Linked DNA regions of Macaca mulatta. The protein of the gene in region 1 interacts with the protein of each later gene in a pairwise test. Links are inferred from orthologs where the notes say so. Each region holds a gene or a part of one and is shown on either strand. Other genes may lie near its edges.

Region 1 (3,512 bases):
AGTGGGGGTGGGGAGGGGCAAAAAGAAAAGGCTGAGCTGAAAGCAGAACGCTGAGTGGCAAGCACAGAAAAGGCAGCATTTCCCAGAGGACCAGTGCTGGCAATGTCACTGAGCTAGAGACCAGACTATTCCTCCAAACCCCTAAAAGAGGGGTACCTGCAGCTAAGATTCCAGAGACCTGGCTGGGTGCTGTGGCTCACGCCTGTAATCTCAACACTTTGGGAGGCTGAGGCGGGCAGATCACTAGGTCAGGAGTTTGAGACCAGCCTGGCCAACGTGGTGAAACCCTGTCTCTACCAAAGATACCAAAAATTAGCTGGGCGTGGTTGCAGGCCCTGTAATCCCAGCTACTCAGGAGGCTGAGGCAGGAGAATCGCTTGAACCTGGGAAGTGGAGGTTGCAGTGAGCTGAGATAACGTCATTGCACTCCAGCCTGGGCAACAGGGCAAAAAGTTCCGGAGACTGCTGGTTAAACAAGGATCCTAGGCGCTAAAGCAGTAAATTGCGCCACCTGGCTTTCAACAGAGGCAAATGCAAATACTGCCTGGAGGAGAATATGCTCAGTTTAGGCCTGTAGGTATTCCCTAGATTAATTAATATCAACAAAATATTGGCTCACAATTGAAGGTGCACAGAGAAACGTAATCCATGAGTGAAGTCAGCAGACATAAAAATTACAGATTTAGGACACCCCCAAAAGGAACTGAGATATTGGAATTATTAAATAATTGGAAGTCACTATGAATCAAATGCTTTTTAAAACAAGATGAAAAATTTAAAAAACCAAACAATAATAGAATACCAAAAAACAACCATGTAGCTGGGTGTGGTGGCTCACGCCAGTAATCCCGACTCTTTGGGAGGCTGAGGTGGGAGGATCACTTGAGCCCAGGAACTGGAGACCAGCCTGGGGAAATGTTGAAACCCCGTCTACAAAAAAAATGCAAAAAATTAGCTGGACGTGGTGGCATGCACCTGTAGTCCCAGCTACCTGGGAGGCTGAGGTGGGAGGATCACCTGAGCCTGGAAGGTCGAGGATGCAGTGAGCTGAGATTGAGCCACTGCACTCCAGCCTGGGAGACAGAGTGAGACCTTATCTCAAATATATATATATATAAAATATATATAACATATAAAAAATATATTATATATATTATATATATATAAAATAGAACATTTAACAGATGGCTGGGCATGGTGGCTGGAACCTGTAAACCCAGTGACTAGGGAGGCTGAGGCAGGAGGATAAGGCCTGGAGTTTGAGACTAGCCTGGGTGACAGTGAGACCTCCATCTCTAAAAAAATTTTTTTTTTTTTGAGACGGAGGTCTCACTCTGTCATCCAGGCTGGAGTGCAGTGGCAGGATCTCGGCTCACTGCAAGCTCCGCCTCCTAGGTTCACACCATTCTCCTGCCTCAGCCTCTGGAGTAGCTGGGACTACAGGTGTCCACCACCACACCTGGCTAATTTTTTATATTTTTAGTAGAGACGGGTTTTCACTGTGTTAGCCAGGATGGTCTTGATCTCCTGACCTCGTGTTGGCCTCCCATCGTGCTGAGATTATAGGTGTGAGCCACTGCACCCGGCCTAAAAAATTGTTTTGTTGTAATTAGTTGGGAGTGGTGTCATGTGCCTGTAATCCCAGCTACTCGGGAGGCTGAAGCAGGAGGATCGCCTGAGTGCAGGAGTTCGAGGATCCAGTGAACAATGATCATACTACTGCACTCCAGCCTGAGTGACAGAGTGAGACTGTCTCTTACAAAAAAAAAATTCGGCCAGGCGAAGTGGCTCACACCTGTAATTCCAGTACTTTGGGTGGCTGAGGCAGGCGAATCACAAGGTCAGGAGATCAAGACCATTCTGGCTAACACGGTGAAGCCCTGTCTCTACTAAAAATACAAAAAATCAGCCGGGTGTGGTGGCGGGTGCCTGTAGTCCCAGCTACTCTGGAGGCTGAGGCAGGAGAATGGCGAGAACCCAGGAGGCGGAGCTTGCAGTGAGCTGAGATCACGCAACTGCACTCCAGCCTGGGTGACAGCAAGAATTCGTCTCAAAAAAAAAACAAAAACAAAAAACTCAACAGGTGAATTAAATGATAGATTTGTCTGAAAACAGAACTAGTGAATAGCATGAGAGGACTAAAAGAAAAACAGAATGTGCAGTTCTAGGAGATGAGAAGGCTGAGAGTGAGAAGGTCTAACAGGTCTAATCAGATTCCCAGAATGAGAGGATAAAGAGAATAGAGAAAAGGCAATATTATGCAGATGGATAATCGTGAAGAATTTCTCAGAATTTATGCAGGAAACGAATCTACAGATAAAGCATCTAGCCCAGTGCCTACTATCTGGTGGATGTTTGGAGACTGTCTGTTCCTTCCCCACTTAGTGGTGGAGGGCTTCTCTCCACCTCCTTCCAGAATCCCTAGAATGTGCTTCTGTACCTTTTGATGGTTCAAACCTTCTAGATTGCTGTAGATGCCCTCATGGGGGGTGGGGTGGAGGGGCCAGCCCTCTCCTAGGCAACCCTGGCTGGGGTGAGGGGTATAGCTCTAGGTGAGGTCCCAGCTCTAAGTGCTAACCTGTGTGTGTATCAGAGTGAGCTCAGCGATGGCATCGCGATGCTAGTGGCAGGCAATGACCGTGTGCAAGCAGTCATCACGCAGATGGAGGAGGTGTGCCAGACCATTGAGGTGAGCCTGGGCTGGAGGGCAGGGGGAACAGCAACTGGCTGGCCTGCGGACCCCGGGCTCCCAAGAGAACTGCTCCTCTCTGACCTCTGGCCAAACTGGTCCAAAAGTTTCTGGGGTCCTGGGAGTGGTGGGAGGTGCTTTTGCCAGGCTGCTGGGTGCTCATTCCAGCTTTTCCGCAAAACTTTAATCCAATTATTTAACTTCTCTGTGCTTTGGTTTTGTTTAACCTCATAAAACAGTGATGATGATAAATGGTACACCAGCTACCTCATGGGTTCTTTTTGAGAATTATATGGAATAATGCAAATAAAAACCAGGGCTAGGGATATAGACAACACTCAGTGAAGCTACTTTAAAGTATTGTGTTTTTATTATGGAAAAGATCTGGGCTGGATTCTGGCTCAGCCACTAACGCACAGTGTCACTATGGGTGGGTCACTTTCTGTGTTGGTTCTCTGTGAGTATCCTGTGCTTTCCCAGCCACCGGGTCTCAGCCACGCCTTCCCTCATCCTTGCTCCCCATCTTTTAGGACAATAGCCGGAGGCAGAAGCAGTTGTTAAACCAGAGGTTTGAGAGCCTGTGCGCAGTGCTGGAGGAGCGCAAGGGCGAGCTGCTGCAGGCGCTGGCCCGGGAGCAAGAGGAGAAGCTGCAGCGCGTCCGCGGCCTCATCCGTCAGTATGGCGACCACCTGGAGGCCTCCTCTAAGCTGGTGGAGTCCGCCATTCAGTCCATGGAAGAGCCACAGATGGCGCTCTACCTCCAGGTGGGCCCTAGGGGAGGGTAGCAGTGCCACACAGTGGCTAGAGTCGGGGCCTTGGTACC
Region 2 (4,234 bases), on another chromosome or scaffold:
TACAGGATGCTCTCCAACCTCAAGCAGAATACGATATGAGCTACTGAATTCTATTCTGCAGGGATTTCACCACTGGTTTAGAAACATTTGGAATTATTTAATTTCTCTCCTATACATCCAGGATGATACCAGCTCTGTACCATCCTTCAGATAATTGGGAAAGCAGTCACTTAAATCATTCTCTGAAGGGCTTAATTCTCCTAGGAATACAGCTAAGAAAGGCTGGCTAGATTAATTTATATTTCATGTGTATCATTTGGCAGAAACTAACCACAACTTTCATTTAGTTCAGCACTGTTGTTGGGCACGCAGTAGTCTCAAATATGCCAGAAATCCAGGCAGTAACATAAGCACGGCAATAGTATGCTTCACTTAGGTGATTCGCATTTTTTATTTTTTCTGCTAATGTAATTTGAACTATTAAAATTGTTTTTGATATCTTTTTACTCCTTTTGTTTTTCTAATACCTGTTAATATTCTACCATCTTGCTAACATTCTCTAGTCTTTTTTAATTATCTGCAATATATCTTTTTTAATAGGTTAGTCTTCCATCTACTTGTCTATTTTAACTAAAAATAAAGCAGCAGGCTGGGTGTGGTAGCTCACGCTGGTAAATCCCAGCACTTTGGGAGGCCAAGATGGGAGGACCACTTGAGGCTAGGAGTTAGAGGCCAGCCTGGGCAACATAGTGAGACCCTCTCTCTCCAAAAAAAAAAAAAAAAAAAAAAAAAATTGTATTATTATGAAGCTATGAAAACTAAAAAACTTAAAATTATTTTATTTTGTACTATAGAAGTTAAATAAGCAAATGTCTAGACATATAGACAATTAAGTTTCTCATAAGTCCCTTAAAATTTTTGAAGATTTCTGTTCATCCTCATTCTTATGAACACACTCAAAAACTTAAAATACTACATGATTTTTGTTTTTTTCTCAGGAGTTGTGGAGTGTATGGCAGCTGGCACAATTATCCTTGCACACAATTCAGGGGGCCCAAAGCTTGACATTGTCGTTCCTCACGAAGGAGATATAACTGGCTTTCTGGCTGAGAGTGAAGAAGACTATGCTGAAACTATCGCTCACATTCTTTCCATGTCTGCAGAAAAGAGACTCCAAATCAGAAAAAGTGCTCGTGCATCTGTAAGCAGATTCTCTGATCAGGAATTTGAAGTGACATTCCTATCATCTGTGGAAAAGTTATTTAAGTAATGCCATATCTGGAAAATTAAAGATATTTTATATAAACTGGTTAAACACCTTCATATGTAAATATTTTTCTAAATTCAATCTCATTTGTCAAATCATTTTACTTTAGAAAACAGACAAGAAAATTTCCTTTTAGAATAAAAGGAAGTGTTGAAAAGAAAATGGATGACTAGCCTTCAGCTTCCATTCTTGGTACACATGAGAGAAGCTGGCTGCTGAGATGAATGTGAACCGGGTTGCGGAGAGCCTTCTGGCTTTGAGCCAACAGGAAGAATTAGTGGATTTGCCAAAAAACTGCCCCTTGAGTGAGAATGAAGATGAGGGGGACAGTGATGGAGAGAGAAAGCATCAAAAGCTTCTGGAAGCAATCAGTTCCCTTGATGGAAAGAATAGGCGGAAATTGGCTGAGAGGTCTGAGGCTAGTCTGAAAGTGTCAGAGTTCAATGTCAGTTCTGAAGGATCAGGAGAAAAGCTGGTCCTTGCAGATCTCCTTGAGCCTGTTAAAACTACTTCTTCTTTGGCCACTGTGAAAAAGCAACTGAATAGAGTCAAATCAAAGAAGGTGGTGGAGTTACCTCTTAACAAAGAAAACATTGAACAGATCCACAGAGAAGTAGCATTCGGTAAAACCTCACAAGTCCTCTCTAAATGGGACCCTATCGTCCTGAAGAACCAGCAGGCAGAGCAGCTGGCTTTTCCCCTGGGGAAGGAGCAGCCAGCCATTGCTCCCATTGAACATGCGCTCAGTGGCTGGAAGGCAAGAACTCCCCTGGAGCAGGAAATTTTTAACCTCCTCCATAAGAACAAGCAGCCAGTAACAGACCCTTTACTGACTCCCATGGAAAAGGCCTCTCTCCGAGCCATGAGTCTGGAAGAGGCAAAGATGCACCGAGCAGAGCTTCAAAGGGCTCGGGCTCTGCAGTCCTACTATGAGGCCAAGGCTCGAAGAGAGAAGAAAATCAAAAGTAAAAAGTATCACAAAGTCGTGAAGAAAGGAAAGGCCAGGAAAGCCTCAAAAGAGTTGGAGCAGCTGCAGAAGGTTAATCCAACTGTGGCATTGGAAGAACTGGAAAAATTTGAAAATGCCAGAATGATGGAAAGAATGAGCCTTAAGCACCAAAACAGTGGGAAATGGGCCAAGTCAAAGGCAATTATGGCAAAATATGACCTGGAGGCTCGCCAAGCTATGCAGGAACAGTTGGCCAAGAACAAAGAACTGACACAGAAACTCCAGGTAGCCTCTGAGATTGAGGAAGAGGAGGGAGGCACAGAAGAAGTGGAAGAACTCCTTGTCCCCCATGTAGTGAATGAAGTCCAGATGAATGTGGAAGGACCGAATCCCTGGATGCTCAGAAGCTGCACCAGTGACACCAGAGAGGCTGCAACCCAGGAGGACCCTGAGCAACTGCCAGAGCCTGCGACCCATGAGGTTTCTGAAAGTGAGGGAGAAAGACCAGTGGCAGAGGAAGAAATTTTGTTGAGAGACTTTGAGGAGAGGCGATCCCTTAGAAAAAGATCTGAGCTCAACCAGGATGCTGAGCCAGCAGGCATTCAAGAAACAAAAGATTCTAGCAGCCAGGAGGTGCTGTCTGAATTGAGGGCACTATCTCAGAAATTGAAGGAAAACCATCAGTCCAGGAAGCAAAAAGCAAGTTCAGAGGGGACTGTTCCCCAGGTCCAGAGAGAGGAACCTGCCCCAGAAGAAGAGGCGCCCCTGTTGCTACAGAGGCCAGAGAGAGTACAAACTGTGGAAGAGCTAGAAGAGCTGGGAAAAGAAGATTGTTTTCAAAATAAGGAGCTTCCCAGACCTGTGTTAGAAGGGCAGCAGTCAGAGAGGACCCCAAATAATCGGCCTGATGCCCCTAAGGAGAAGAAAGAGAAGGAGCAACTGATCAACGTACAGAACTTCCTAACTACACAGTCTCCTTCCGTGAGGTCTTTGGCAGTTCCCACAACAATAGAGGAGCTGGAAGATGAAGAGGAGAGAGACCAAAGGCAGATGATAAAGGAAGCTTTTGCTGGGGATGATGTCATCAGAAATTTCTTGAAAGAGAAGAGAGAAGCTGTGGAGGCGAGTAAGCCAAAGGACGTGGACCTGACACTACCTGGCTGGGGCGAGTGGGGTGGTGTGGGCCTAAAGCCTAGTACCAAGAAAAGACGCCAGTTTCTCAAAGCCCCTGAGGGTCCTCCAAGAAAAGATAAGAATTTGCCAAATGTGATTATCAGTGAGAAGCGCAACATCCACGCAGCAGCTCATCAGGTACAAGTGCTTCCATATCCATTTACCCACCATCGGCAATTTGAAAGGACCATCCAGACCCCTGTAGGATCCACATGGAACACCCAGAGGGCTTTCCAAAAGCTGACTACTCCCAAGGTCATCACCAAGCCAGGTCATATCATTAAGCCCATAAAAGCAGAGGATGTGGGCTACCGGTCTTCCTCAAGGTCAGACCTGTCTGTCATACAGTGGAATCCAAAACAAATCACCACACGTCACAGTAAAGAGTTGAAGAAAAACTCTGTAGGTTGAGTAGCTGGAAAAGTGACAGCTAGGAGTTCTGATTCCACTTCCTTTGGTCCAGTTTTACTCTGCTACAGGGTGGATTCCAGAACTGGCTCAGCACATTGCATGTAGTTGAGCCACATTTTTAAAAAAAGAAAATGGATGACCATTAATTGACTAGCATTTTAGAATTGATCAGACATTAGAACACAGAAAAATGCTGGTACATTTACATTCTAAACAATACAGTGGATGACCCTTTTGAATATACCTAATGATTTCCTTTAAAAAGAAATTTTAAACAGACTTGTGTAATCATGTTCTCAAAGCATACAGTCAAGAGGTGGGACTGACTGATGCTTTATAGGTGTGTGTAGGGCAGTAGAGGCCAAGGTGCTGCCAACAGTCCTTTCCATACCGGTACTGGTGAAAATTGTTTTTGTTTAGTGCTATCAGCACATTTGTGTGGGTCTCGTTATCGCTTGACAGTACCGCATCTCAGCCTGGAAGTCAGGTTTAAG
Region 3 (3,986 bases), on another chromosome or scaffold:
TGGCGTAAGTGACTCCTGTCTGGCCCCAGGACCATCCAAGTTCACTCCCCTAATTGGGATGGTAGGGAGGGTGGGAAGCAGGCCCCCAGCCCCCAGGAGGGCAGAGGGCATTATGGAGGCACCTGCCGTGCAAGCCCCTTCTAGGGGCGTCCCCTTGGGGCCCCACTGCTCCTGCTGAGCTGGGCTTGGTGGCCACAGACTTTGGTCCTCAAGGAACTGCCAGCCAGGCATGCTGGTGATCCTCCCTCAGATGCCCCCAGCACGGGACCTGAGTGCTGGAGGAGCCCCACGGGGCTCTGAAACTGGGGACCCAGCACGAGGGAAATTGGGGAGATGGCCTTAGCATCCCTGAGGCCCAGAAGAGCTTGGAGTTGAACTTGATGAGTTGGCTGCACCCTTGTTTGTCCCAGTCTCACTTTCCTCCATGCCATCACTCTGGGTCCATCCAAAATGCCCACACCCACAGCCTTTGTTTTGTTTTGTTGTCCTTGTTTGTGAAGTGCCAGGTGCTAAAATCCAGAACTAATCTAAGCTGCAGGGGTTCTGTTTGCCTGGCACCAGGGGCAGGGCTAATGGGTTCCTTAGAAAATAATTCTGCCTCCCTCCCCTCTCTGTACCGCCGGAATAGTGACCCCGGAAGCAGCCAAAAGCAAAAGAGGGGCCCCATCACTGGAACCGCATTTCCTCACTCAGTTACGTTGTAGAGAAGGGAGGAGGCAATTGGTCAGTATTTTCTTTCTCCTTCCCAGCCTTTTTCAAATCCTGCCGCCCTCCACTTCCTTGGTGTGGTGGGTGTGTGGTGTGGTTGACAATCTGGAAAAGGGAAACCCAGTGCTGGTCTCAGCTACTGCTACCTCCCACGTGACTGCCTGAGAGTCGCTGGCTCCTCTGAGTCTCCCTTCTCTGTAGGACAGGGCAACGTGACCTCTAGGGTCCCATCCAGCTTATTACTTTCTGATGGCCTGACCCCCCCAGCACCTTCCCCCACCCACAGGGCAGAGACTATGTCTGAGGTCACAGAGAAGCTGTGAATGTGTGGGCTAAGAGCTCCAGGGTCCTTGTATCACAGCTGGAGAGACCTAAGCTGGGCGGCAGGTCCTGAAAGTGTTCTCACGACACTGCACCGCGTCCTGCTCACCAAGGCCACGAGAAAAGCCAGCCCTCCTCCCTTCCACTTCAGCTGGGGTCCCATTGAAGACCCTCCAGGAAAAGGGGGGCACATACCCCCACTGGGCTTTTCCTGATGCTGGCAGGGGCTGCTCTGGCTGCTCCTAAGTGGAACTCGTGAAGGTGGCAGTGACGGTGTTGATGGGGACTTCAGGACTTATCTGATCAGTTTCCCATCGTCCTTGCTGGGTCTGTTGCTTCACCGGCATCTGTGCTCTGATGCTATTAATAACCAGAGAGCCTGAGAGCAGGAAGAAGTGCTGCTCACGCTGGAGGAAGTGGCTGGGAGGGTGCAGGGGCTGGTGGCAGAGACCCCCAGAGCCCATCCTAGCCCAACATGGCGTGGGGGTCCTGGGAATGAGGCTTGCCTCCAGCCTCACCTTCTCCATCTGGGAAATGGGACTATTGATGCAGAACCCTCCCCAAAAGTGGATCAGAGAGCCACAGCCATCGTGGTTCTCATGGACTCTCCAAGGACGGGGCAGGGAGCTCAGTGAATGAATGAATGAAGGAAGGAAGGAAGCAATGAATGAACAAAGGGACTTTAACAAGCCAAGCAAGGAATGGCTTCACTTTAGCCCTGAAGTCTTTTTGACATTCAAAAGTTTTAAATTGTGAAAGCTTCAAATTTATTAATCCTTCCAGTAATTTTTTTTTCTGCAGCTGGATGTACTGGGAGTGGGAATAAGTGACCAGGCAAGGAGAGGAGTTGGAAGACCCCAGAGAGAGGCTCAGGGTTAAGAGGGGCCCTCGAGGTGGGCATGCCTGGTAAACGTTAGAGCGCTATACTCAGGGAAAGCATTTAATTCTCACAAGTGCCTGGCATGTGGGTGGTTAGCCACCCCTTAGGAGGCTGGCACTGTGTGCCTGAATCCTCTTGGTAAAAATGGTCTTGGTATAACATTCACTGCAGCCATAGAAAGCCACAGGGATTAAGGGGTCCCCCAATCCTCTTGCAGCCACTGGGCTGCAGGGGGCTGAGTGCTCATCCTAGAACCAGCGGGGACGAGGACCGAGTGACCCCACTGCCAGCACTCCCTGGGAGAAAGGACCCCTGGTCTGGCCTTGGCCTGACCTTGAGGACTGACCCACTCCTTGCTCTCACAGGCCTGTGGATCCCTTGATAAAGGCCATCAAGAATGGCGATGAAGAGGCCTTGAAGACCATGATCAAGGAAGGGAAGAATCTCGCAGAGCCCAACAAGGAGGGCTGGCTACCGCTGCACGAGGCCGCGTACTATGGCCAGCTAGGCTGCCTGAAGGTCCTGCAGCGAGGTGAGGGTTGGGCTCTGGATGTGGCAAGAGGTGGGAAAGGGACTGGGGGAAGGGCTGCTGCTCCTGGGGCTTCATGTTCTTTGCCCACAACCACCTTGGTGAGAAGGACAGGCAAGGCTGTCACCTTCGTTTGTCAGTTAGTCACAGAGTTAGGAGAGGGGAGATGAGTTGTCTCCACCCCCGACAGACACCCCCTGCTGCCACCTCTCCAGGCCTCTGAGGACAGGAGAGCCTCATTCCTAGAAAAGGAATGAGGGAGGGCTGACTTTTAGCAGAGCTGCTGCCAACTTGTTCCAGAATGTCCCAGGGGCTGATTTGGTATGAAAAATACTGCAGCTGTGCCTGTACCCGGCCAAGGCTATCCCCCACCTGCTGTGGGGCCCTGGGCCAGCCATGCCTCCTCTCTGAGCCCTGTCTTTGTGCTGAGCCAGGCTTAGAAGGACAACTCCTGCAGGCAGGTGTCACCTCTGCCCTGAAGCAGCACAGACCCCAAACGGTCCCCCACACTCCAAGAAACCACAGCATGTAACAGTGGGTTTCCAGCAATGGCTGGTGTGAGTTCGAGGGAAGGACAGGAGTATTAGAAGAGGGAGGGGCTCAATTAGGGAAGGCTTCTCAGAGGACGTGGCATCTGACCATGGACTTGTACAACCAGGAAGCTAAAATGGCCCTGTGAAAGGGCCAGATGAATACAGTCTGTAGTTGGTAAATTTCAGAGGATGTCATAGATTGTTCCTGAAATTGGGAGGCAATCTGGAAAGCCTCTGTGTTGCGGGATCGAGTATCTTCTTCCTACATGAATTTCCCGGTCGGCCCTCCCTAGCGTACCCAGGGACCATCGACCAGCGCACCCTGCAGGAGGAAACAGCCGTTTACTTGGCAACGTGCAGGGGCCACCTGGACTGTCTCCTGTCACTTCTCCAGGCAGGAGCAGAGCCGGACATCTCTAACAAATCCCGAGAGACACCGCTCTACAAAGGTGAGGTCCCCACCCCGGAGTGGGCTTTCCTGAGGAAGAATCCAGAAGGTGGGTGGGCAACAGGGAATGTTGCTCCCATAAGTGCATAACCCCCAGTGTGGCCCTGCTCAAATTCACAATTTATGTAACTGAATCATTCATTCCTGCATGCATTTTTTTTTTTTTTTTTTTGAGACGGAGCCTCGCTCTGTCACCCAGGCTGGAGTGCAGTGGCCGGATCTCAGCTCACTGCAAGCTCCTCCTCTTGGATTCACGCCATTCTCCTGCCTCAGCCTCCCAAGTAACTGGGACTATAGGCGCCCGCCACCTTGCCCGGCTAGTTTTTTTTTGTATTTTTTAGTAGAGACGGGGTTTCACCGTGTTAGCCAGGAGGGTCTCGATCTCCTGACCTCGTGATCCGCCCGTCTCGGCCTCCCAAAGTGCTGGGATTACAGGCTTGAGCCACCGCGCCCGGCCTCCTGCATGCATTTTACCAACATTTTCCAACTGCCTCCCATGGGCCAGGATGCTGAGGGACACTGAGGGCTCGGAGCTGAAAAACTATAGTCCAACCTGTGCACCCTCCC
Region 4 (4,093 bases), on another chromosome or scaffold:
GGGATTACAGGCTTGAGCCACCGGGCCCGGCCGTAAAGTTGTGTTTCATTATTTCACTTCTGCAAACTATTCATAGAGTGACTGAAAAATTTAAAATATAAAAATAAAGTATCAGGCCAGGAACCGTGTGGCTCATGCCTGTAATCCTAGCACTTTCGGAGGCTGAGACAGGAGGACTGCTTGACCCCAGGAGTTCAAGAACAGCCTGAGCAACACAGCAAGATTCCATCTCTAAAAAAAATAAAAACTAAAAAATGAAAAAATAAAGTATCCATTGGACCCAGATGGTAAGCATTCCAGATGGCTCATACATGAGGTCTAGAAACACAATTTGATATATCCTAAGCAGTCTTCCAGAGCAATGTTTCTCAATCTGGCTAATCATCACAGCCAAATTACCCGAGGCTCTAGTTATTATAAAATCAGCTTCCTGGGCAGACACAGATTTCATGGAAGGACTTAGGAACTCTTCTTTTTAATAAATATCCTGGGGGTTTCTAATGATCAGCCATTAAGAAGTATGTCCATATGAAGTCCACTCCAAGTAGAATATTTAATCCTTACCCATAGGATTCCATTTCTCACCTAGTGAATTGGCAAAAATCCAAAGTTTGACAACATTCTCTGACATCAAGGCTTTGAGAAACACTCATATACTACTAATGGGAGCATAAACTAGTACAATTACCATGGAGAGTGAGTTTGCAGTATCTACCAAAATTCTAAATTCAGATACCCTCCAACTCTGCAGTATCACTTCAGGTCTCAAAACCTGAAGTGTACAAATATATGTGCACAAAGGAAGCAACATATGTAAAAGTTTATTCACCGCAGCACTGACTGTAACAGCAAAAGACTTGAAAGCTATACATGCTGATATTAGAAAAGCTCCAAAATATTATCACTAACTGGAAAAATAAGAGCAAAATGTGGAGCAGTATATAAAATGTTAATGTTTGTGCTAAAAGGAGGCAAATACAGCTTATATGTTTGCCTATGTAGATATAAAATATCCCTAGAATACCTAAGAAATGTAAAAAAGTTGCCTGCCTGCCAGAAGGAGACTTGATACTATATACCTATTTACACTGCTTAAATTTTGAGACATGTGACTGTTTACCTACTCAAAAACAATACATTTACAAAAGATGTTGGCAGCACTTGAAAAGAAATTAATAAATGCTAACGTTAACTATTGCTAAAAGTAGAAAGTATTTTAAAGTTATTTGGGGGAGCTTTTCTTTTTTAGAATCTCTTGGCATTTAATACCTATGAAAAGTACCCAAATCTGGCAAAAACAGAGAAAATAGTTGTGTCACGCTCATTTTAAGAAACTCTTTAAACAGTACATTTAACCGGCAACCATTAGCAAATTCTTCCCCTATTGTTCCTCTTTTTCTCCTTTTTACATCTTTTCCTATAATGCCCAAAACTAAAAGTTAATGTCTCCAAAGTTAAATTTAATTTTCAATGGAGTGACTACTTACTGACCATTTTAAAAGTCATTCTACTTCTTTTTATTCTGTGCCACAAACCACTTGATTTATAATATTTCTGTACCATTTAAGGCACAAAAGTTTATAGAATTAAGTTGGTAACACAGAAGACAAAAGGACATATTTTCTACCGTTATCCCTCAATCTTAAACAGGAAAATAAAAAGACTGAACAAATTTGAGTTTTAACTAATCACATACACATTTAGAAATCAATTTAAAAGGCCCGCCGTTGTTTTTCAATGTAAATGTCCTCCTTTAATCAACTATTTATTTTTGAAACAAGCAGATATTAAGAGTTTGGTAAGCCGAGCGTATTTTCTAAGCAATGTACGCAATGGAAAAGTCAACAGTAAACTTGTATGTGGTTATACAGACGAGATAATCTAGAAACTCCTTTCAAAAATGGGCACATTCGAAGACTCTATGACTCAATAATCCCACTTTGGTAAAAGTGAAACTTTCCACATCCATATGCCTTCCCTTTCCCATTATTACAAGGAAATCCTGAAAGGAAGTCTCTGAGTCGTCAGATCTCAGGGGTATTTCCTTCTAAACACACCCAACTGGAAACGTTTCTCCCTCAGGTCCAACTTCTCCAGGAAAAAGCTCTCCCCACCCCCTTCCAAAAAAAGTCAAGGCTTCGCCCACTAAACGAACACTTCCTTCCTCCTTTCAAATCCAGGGCTTCCCGAATAACCCAAAAGGAGGGTGATTAAGTACAGACCAAGAAACGCGGAGCACGGGGAGGAACCGTGACCAGAGGCTCTTTCTTTACTCAACTCGAGATCGTATCGAGGAGAAAACAAGGATCGAGAGACTGTCCCAGGAAGAACCCCAGAGCTGGGGCGGGGGCTGCCGGCGTTCACCCGGCCGGGCCTCCGGGCTCAGCCAGCCCCGGCCCCAGCCCCGGCCCCAGCCCCAGCCCCAGCCCCAGCCCCAGCCCCAGCCCACGCAGGAGCCCGAAACCCGCGGGGTCGTGGCAGGCAGAGCGCGCTGCTCCCGCAAACTTGCCACCCAGCCAGCAGGGCGCAGGGAGGGGCGCGGAGCACCCTGAGGAGAGGGCGTCGCCGCTGCCTCCCGAAAACGGCTGCGACCGGGATGCAGTCCGTGAAGTGGCCCGGGGACCCTCACGCCTCTGCCCCAAGTCCCCGCGCCCGGGACCCGGCACCGGTGTCCTTCCTCCCCGCTTGGCCTCTTACCTAGCCCCACAAGGAAACGCTCGCCGCCACCGCCTCCGGTCACTGGCACGGACTTCTGAGGCCCAAGGGTAAGAGAGCGGCGCGCGCCCGAGGACCGCCCCCGAGGCGCGTCATGGCACCGCCCCCCGCCTTCGGCCCGCGCAGGCGCACCGCGCAGGGTCAGGTGATCGCGTCCCTAAGGTAACCGGGCGGTAGGGGTAAAGAGGCCTGGGCGTGGGTCGTTCCTGCAGCTCCAGGTGTTCGGCAGTGCGGGGCGGTCCATGCCGGCCGCTCTCTGCTGCCCAGCGGTTATGCTCCCAGTCTTCTCCGCTCTTCGGCAGTTAGTGCCCGCGGGCCCCGTGCCACCCACTCACTACAGTGTGTATCGCAGCTCACGGTCTCTTGGTTCTCGTCGCCTCCAATTCAAAGAGGTCTCTAGAGCCTATGCTCCCTCTTGGGATGCCTTCGACTTCCACCACTGCTGCCCTAGTAACACTCTCCGCTTGCTGTACCTGTCCACTGTAGGCTCAGAAACGTTCTTCTCACGACCCCTTCGCAACTCCTGCTTTATTTTTCTGTTTGAAATTTGGATGTTGGGGTGGCGGGGGGGCGTATTACGATGTCCTCCTGAGCTAATATTCCTTCGCTGCTGAGAGTTACTTGTGGTGGTGCGCAAAAGTAATTGCTTCCCAGTACAAAAACATAACGATCATTTCTTGAGGGCTGATTTTGTGCCAGCCATAGCTCTACGAACTTAATATATAGTCTTATTTGGTCTTCACATCAGTCTATAAAATAAATACAACATCCCATTACAAAGAAACTGAGGCACAGTTTACCCAAGAGTAAGCATAGTTACCATGGAATACTGTAGAGTCCTTGACAAAATAGCATTTACAAGCTGTTTATTTCTAGCTAAATTAGTGCCACAATAATTTAATATGTGGCAAAACTAATAAAAATCTGAGTGTAAAAGAGGTGACAACTAAAGATGAAAACTTTGCCGTCAGTAAGGTTATAGTTAGGCTGATGAAATGGACATTTAAAAATAATTACAAGGTAGATTGGGAAGGAAGATACACAACTTTTTGCTTTCAGATGAGATGATTTCTAACATAGAAAATCTGGAAAAAATTGACACTCCTCTAAAAAAATAGACAGAATGAAAAGCAATTATAGCAAGTTTGCATGAACAACTTTAAAACAGACTCATTCTAAGCCAAAATGCTTGGGACCAGAAATGTTTCCAATTTTTGATTTTGTTTTTTTTTTGCTTTTGTAATATTTGCATTATATACTTACGAGTTTACCATCCCTACTCCAAAACCCAAAATGCTCCAGTGAGCATTTCCCTTGGTCCTCATGTCAGCACTCAAAAAGTTTCATATTTTGGAGTAGTTCATATTTTGGATTTCTG
Region 5 (4,059 bases), on another chromosome or scaffold:
TTGGTGTCTGATAAGGGTTTGCTCTCTGCTTCCAGGATGGTACCTTCTTGTTGTGTTTTCACATGGCTTAAAGTTGAAGGGGAAAAGGGGTCTAAGACAATCCCTTCAATCTCTTTTATAAGGTCTCTAATCACATTCATGAGGGTCCCACCTCATGATTAAATCATGCCCAAATGGCCCCACCTCTTAATGTTATCATATTGGCAATTAAGTTTCAACATATGAAATTTGGGTTACACATTTAGACTACAGCAATATGTATGCAAAATACACAAGGTATATATATATATACCTGTACAAGTGTAGCTTATCTGAAAGTCTTTTTAAAAATATTGTCAAAATAGTAGAATCTTTTAAATCTCAAAAAAAAAATCACCACTTGAGGTAGATAAGCAGAAAAAAACACTTAAAATTTTCACCGCAGAATATGTTTTAGCATGTGGAAATTTAGCATGTTCTCTGAACAAAAAGCCTAAAAAGTTTATTGGTTTATTAAATCATTTTCAGATTAATGCATTATTTTGATCATTTTCACGTTGCCTAGATCAGTGATGTGCAACGGAAATATAATGCAAAACCACATATGTAATTATAAATTTTCTAGTAGCTACACTTAAAAATAAAAACATGTGAGATTAATTTTAATAATTTAATTAACTCATATCTAAGCTATAATCATTATAACATATTATCAGTACAAAAATATTGAGACATTTTACAGTTTTATATTGTCTTCCCAATCCAGTGATCCAGTGTATATTTTACATTTATAGTATATCTCGTTACAACCTCTCTAATTTCATCAGAAATATTTAATTGATATTTATTTTATAGAGACATGGTCTTGCTCTGTTGCCAGGCTGGAAGGCAGTGGCAGGATCCCAGCTCACTGCAACCTCAACTTCCCTGGCCCAACTTATCCTCCCACCTCAGCCTCTGGAGTAGCTGGGACCACAGGTGTGTGCCACCACATCCAGCTGATATTTTTTTTTGGAAACAATCTCCCTCTGCCGCCCAGGCTGGAGTGCAGAGGTGCAATCTCGGCTCACTGCAAGCTCGGTCTCCTGGGTTCATGCGTTCTTCTGTCTCAGCCTCCCAAGTAGCTGGGACCACAGGCGCCTGCCACCACGCCTGGCTAATTCTCTGTATTCTTAGTAGAGATGGGGTTTCACTGTGTTAGCCAGGATGGTCATAATCTCTTGACCTAGTGATCCATCCGCCTCAGCCTCCCAAAGTGCTGGGATTACAGCCGTGAGCCACCGCGCCAGGCCACATCCGGCTAATTTTTTAATTTTTTGTACAGATGGGGTCTCCCTGTGTTGACCAGGCTGGTCTCAGTCTCCTCACCTCAAGCAATCCTCCTGCCTCAGCCTCCCAAAGTGCTGGGATAACAGGCATGAGCCACCGACGCCTGGGACTTGATCAGTATTTAGATTTCATAAAGTTTACAGTTGAAAAAGTAGATTCACATACCTCAGTTGTTCCAACCATATTAAAAAAACTTTCCAATAGCTGAATCAAGTGCCAGTTTTTGAGTTTACTGAGATTAAAATTAAATATTCAGTTACTTCATCACACTAGGCACATTTCGAAAGCTCAATAGCGACATATGGTTAGTGGCTACACTACTGAAGAGCACAAATCTAGGTCAACCTGTTTTCGTTGTTCTCCACATGTGAACTTAAACTGTAACGCAAATATAAAAAGATATTATTTTATTTTGCATGATGTGGAAGACAGAAAAATTTGAAATACATTAGAATGAAAAAAAAATTGAATATGGGTCATTCAGAGACCTTGCCAAGAAAGTAGAAAAGCTTCTGTATAAGAGTATCGAGGCGATGGTACTATTATAAAGCTGTTCCACCACCGCGAGAACATTACCATCACTTCAACTGTCCTCTTACGTTTTAGTCTACTTTTTTCAAAAAAAAAAAAAAAAGAAAGAAAAGAAAAGAGAAACAAAAAGAAAAATTGAATCTGCAGAGGGCTCGCGTTTGTGCATGCTGTATGCACAAAGGGGGTGACATTTAGGGCTTGCTCTCAATTACAGTGCAATTTAATCTTCCAGTCACTAGGAATAACAACGTTTTATAACATTTCGGCCTGTTGGAATTTTGAACCTAAGGTGAACCGGCTGACATCATATCCCCCTTCTGCTGTCATAGGTTTTCAAAATTTGGTTTGATCTAAATTCTCTGGTACCTTATGTCCCATAAAAATTTCATCTAATTCGGAAGTAGTGACTGCTGCAGTAACCGTCTCATGAAAGTATATGGTTTTTACAAATCATTGTCGTGTAGAAGAAAAAACAGGTAGCAATATAAATATTTCATACTATTTATTTAGTCCCAAAATAATCAGAAAAGAGTCATCAAAAAATATCCTACGCTTAACTTCATGTTCTCAAGTTTCAAGAGAAAGTTTTTAAAGAGGCAATCCTTACTTTGGCAAAAATGCATTAAAGCTTGCTGCATTTAAGAGATGTCCCATTATGCAAACAGGTTGAAAGAATATTACAAGTACGTTTTGGAAAAATACGGAGTGTCGCGCAGCTCAGCAATCCACAGTCTTAATGCGCGCCTCTTTCCAGGAATTTGATCCAGCATCAAAACCCACAGGTGCATTTACTGCATGGGAGTAGCAAGTAAATGATGTGCCAATATTCAACCTGCAACTGCGTCGTCGGAGCCTACCTCACCCTCAGCGTAACTTTCACCGGTACTCACCTTCCCAGAAACTCGCCCCAGTGAACAACCACCGTTGTCCCTAGTAAAGCCCTTAAGCAGGGTTCCCACGCTCCTGGGCTGGGCGGGGCGCCGGGGGCGCAAAGCATTCTTAAGAACACGACTGCGCAGGCGCTACCCTCCTCGCGCAGGCGCCGTACTCCCCCTCATAGCCAGAATTAGAGACCAGCCGGGTGCTGGGAGGTTAACGAGGCCGGCTAGTCCCGCCCCCGTATTGAGCGCGGTGCTTCTCTTCCGCTCCGGGTGGGGTCTGCTTCCCTTTCCGGGCGGGCAGGCAGCGAACCCCAGTGTCTTTATCCCTCTTTTGCACAGAGTCAGCTTCTGCAGCTCTCCCTGGCTGGCATGGCAGCGTGGAGGAGTTGGGCCGCTCTGCGGCTCTGCGCCACAGGTAATGGGCGCGCAGCGGTCGGAACCTGGCCCCGCCGTGGGGCCGGGATTGGGCTCGGGTCTGGGGCGAGGCCTGCGGGGCCCGCGGAGATGCCCACCCGGTCCCCGGCAGCGTCCTGCCGTCCCCGCCCCACCGCCCTGCCTGGCCGTGAAGGAGCGGACACCTGAGGGTCCTTCCGCCGCTGCTGTGCGGGACCAGTGCTGGACGTGGGAAGGGCGCGCTGCCTTGTGTTTGTGTTTTTCTCATTGTGGCAGGAAGTTTCAGTAAAGCTTACTCCTTTGATGGGCAAGAAGGATGCCGCCGTCCCACCTTAACGACCAGATCTTGTCTTGACTTTAGGTTCCGAGTCTTGTTATGTTTAAGGGTTTTTACCACCAGTGCTCAGAGAGGGTGGTCGAGGACAGATCAGGGTCAGGCCGCCGGGATTGTGCGGTGTGAAAAGGACCTGAGTGTGTGTCAGCGGTTCTCAGCTGCCTCCCGTCAGCACGGAGTGCCCTCATTCTCACTGGGGTCCGCTCACTTAACCTTTTAGAATCCACTCTGTGTCAGACACGGCCGTGTAATAAGTATTAGAGTTACAGCTCGACTTTCTTTCTATTTGGGGGTAAATATTTTGAATGACATTTGGAGTTTTTACTGAAGAGATAATTGCTATTAAAGCAAAAGAAGTATAGAAGAATGCTGTCTATATTCCAAAAAGATGGAATGGTAAAAAGGAGAAGTAAGATGAGAGTGAAAATGAGGAAAAAGGAACTGTGTATATTAGCTTTATTGGCTTACCTAGAACTTGGCCGGTCACCATGTGGTTGCATACAGACTATTTATTAAATGGATGAACTACTTTTGCTTTTGCATCATTTGCACCCTGGGATGTATCAGTGATGAATTTTTTGGTAGGTTGTAAAAGGTCAAAAACACCTCAAA

The links.
Region 2: the proteins of TRIM54 (region 1) and UTP14C interact in a two-hybrid assay, tested with the Homo sapiens proteins (2 studies listed by BioGRID and IntAct). The two-hybrid records come from large-scale screens. The link is inferred for Macaca mulatta from reciprocal best matches to the Homo sapiens genes TRIM54 and UTP14C.
Region 3: the proteins of TRIM54 (region 1) and OTUB2 interact in binary tests that used the Homo sapiens proteins (3 or more experiments, as listed by UniProt). The two-hybrid records come from large-scale screens. The link is inferred for Macaca mulatta from reciprocal best matches to the Homo sapiens genes TRIM54 and OTUB2.
Region 4: the proteins of TRIM54 (region 1) and SDCBP interact in binary tests that used the Homo sapiens proteins (3 or more experiments, as listed by UniProt). The two-hybrid records come from large-scale screens. The link is inferred for Macaca mulatta from reciprocal best matches to the Homo sapiens genes TRIM54 and SDCBP.
Region 5: the proteins of TRIM54 (region 1) and CCDC102B interact in binary tests that used the Homo sapiens proteins (3 or more experiments, as listed by UniProt). The two-hybrid records come from large-scale screens. The link is inferred for Macaca mulatta from reciprocal best matches to the Homo sapiens genes TRIM54 and CCDC102B.

The regions. Positions count from the first base shown.
Region 1 is NC_133418.1:97,679,145-97,682,656, reverse strand, and holds part of TRIM54 (tripartite motif-containing protein 54), read left to right. Parts: intron 1-2,593; coding exon 2,594-2,689; intron 2,690-3,219; coding exon 3,220-3,453; exon of another isoform or gene 3,454-3,486; intron 3,487-3,512. UniProt on the Homo sapiens protein: May bind and stabilize microtubules during myotubes formation.
Region 2 is NC_133422.1:31,264,669-31,268,902, forward strand, and holds the start of UTP14C (U3 small nucleolar RNA-associated protein 14 homolog C), read left to right. Parts: upstream 1-1,427; coding exon 1,428-3,740; 3' UTR 3,741-4,234. Other genes in the region: ALG11 (GDP-Man:Man(3)GlcNAc(2)-PP-Dol alpha-1,2-mannosyltransferase), read left to right, coding at 939-1,210. UniProt on the Homo sapiens protein: Essential for spermatogenesis. May be required specifically for ribosome biogenesis and hence protein synthesis during male meiosis.
Region 3 is NC_133412.1:167,214,468-167,218,453, reverse strand, and holds the start of OTUB2 (ubiquitin thioesterase OTUB2), read right to left. Parts: upstream 2,808-3,986; 5' UTR 2,804-2,807; intron 2,442-2,803; coding exon of another isoform or gene 2,275-2,441; intron 5-2,274; coding exon of another isoform or gene 1-4. Other genes in the region: ASB2 (ankyrin repeat and SOCS box protein 2), read left to right, coding at 1-4, 2,275-2,441, 3,265-3,420. UniProt on the Homo sapiens protein: Hydrolase that can remove conjugated ubiquitin from proteins in vitro and may therefore play an important regulatory role at the level of protein turnover by preventing degradation.
Region 4 is NC_133413.1:69,233,080-69,237,172, reverse strand, and holds the start of SDCBP (syntenin-1), read right to left. Parts: upstream 2,808-4,093; 5' UTR 2,698-2,807; intron 1-2,697. UniProt on the Homo sapiens protein: Multifunctional adapter protein involved in diverse array of functions including trafficking of transmembrane proteins, neuro and immunomodulation, exosome biogenesis, and tumorigenesis.
Region 5 is NC_133423.1:11,949,055-11,953,113, forward strand, and holds the start of CCDC102B (coiled-coil domain-containing protein 102B), read right to left. Parts: upstream 2,808-4,059; 5' UTR 2,730-2,807; intron 1-2,729. UniProt on the Homo sapiens protein: During interphase, forms fibers at the proximal ends of centrioles to maintain centrosome cohesion. During mitosis, dissociates from the centrosome following phosphorylation to allow centrosome separation. Contributes to CROCC/rootletin filament formation.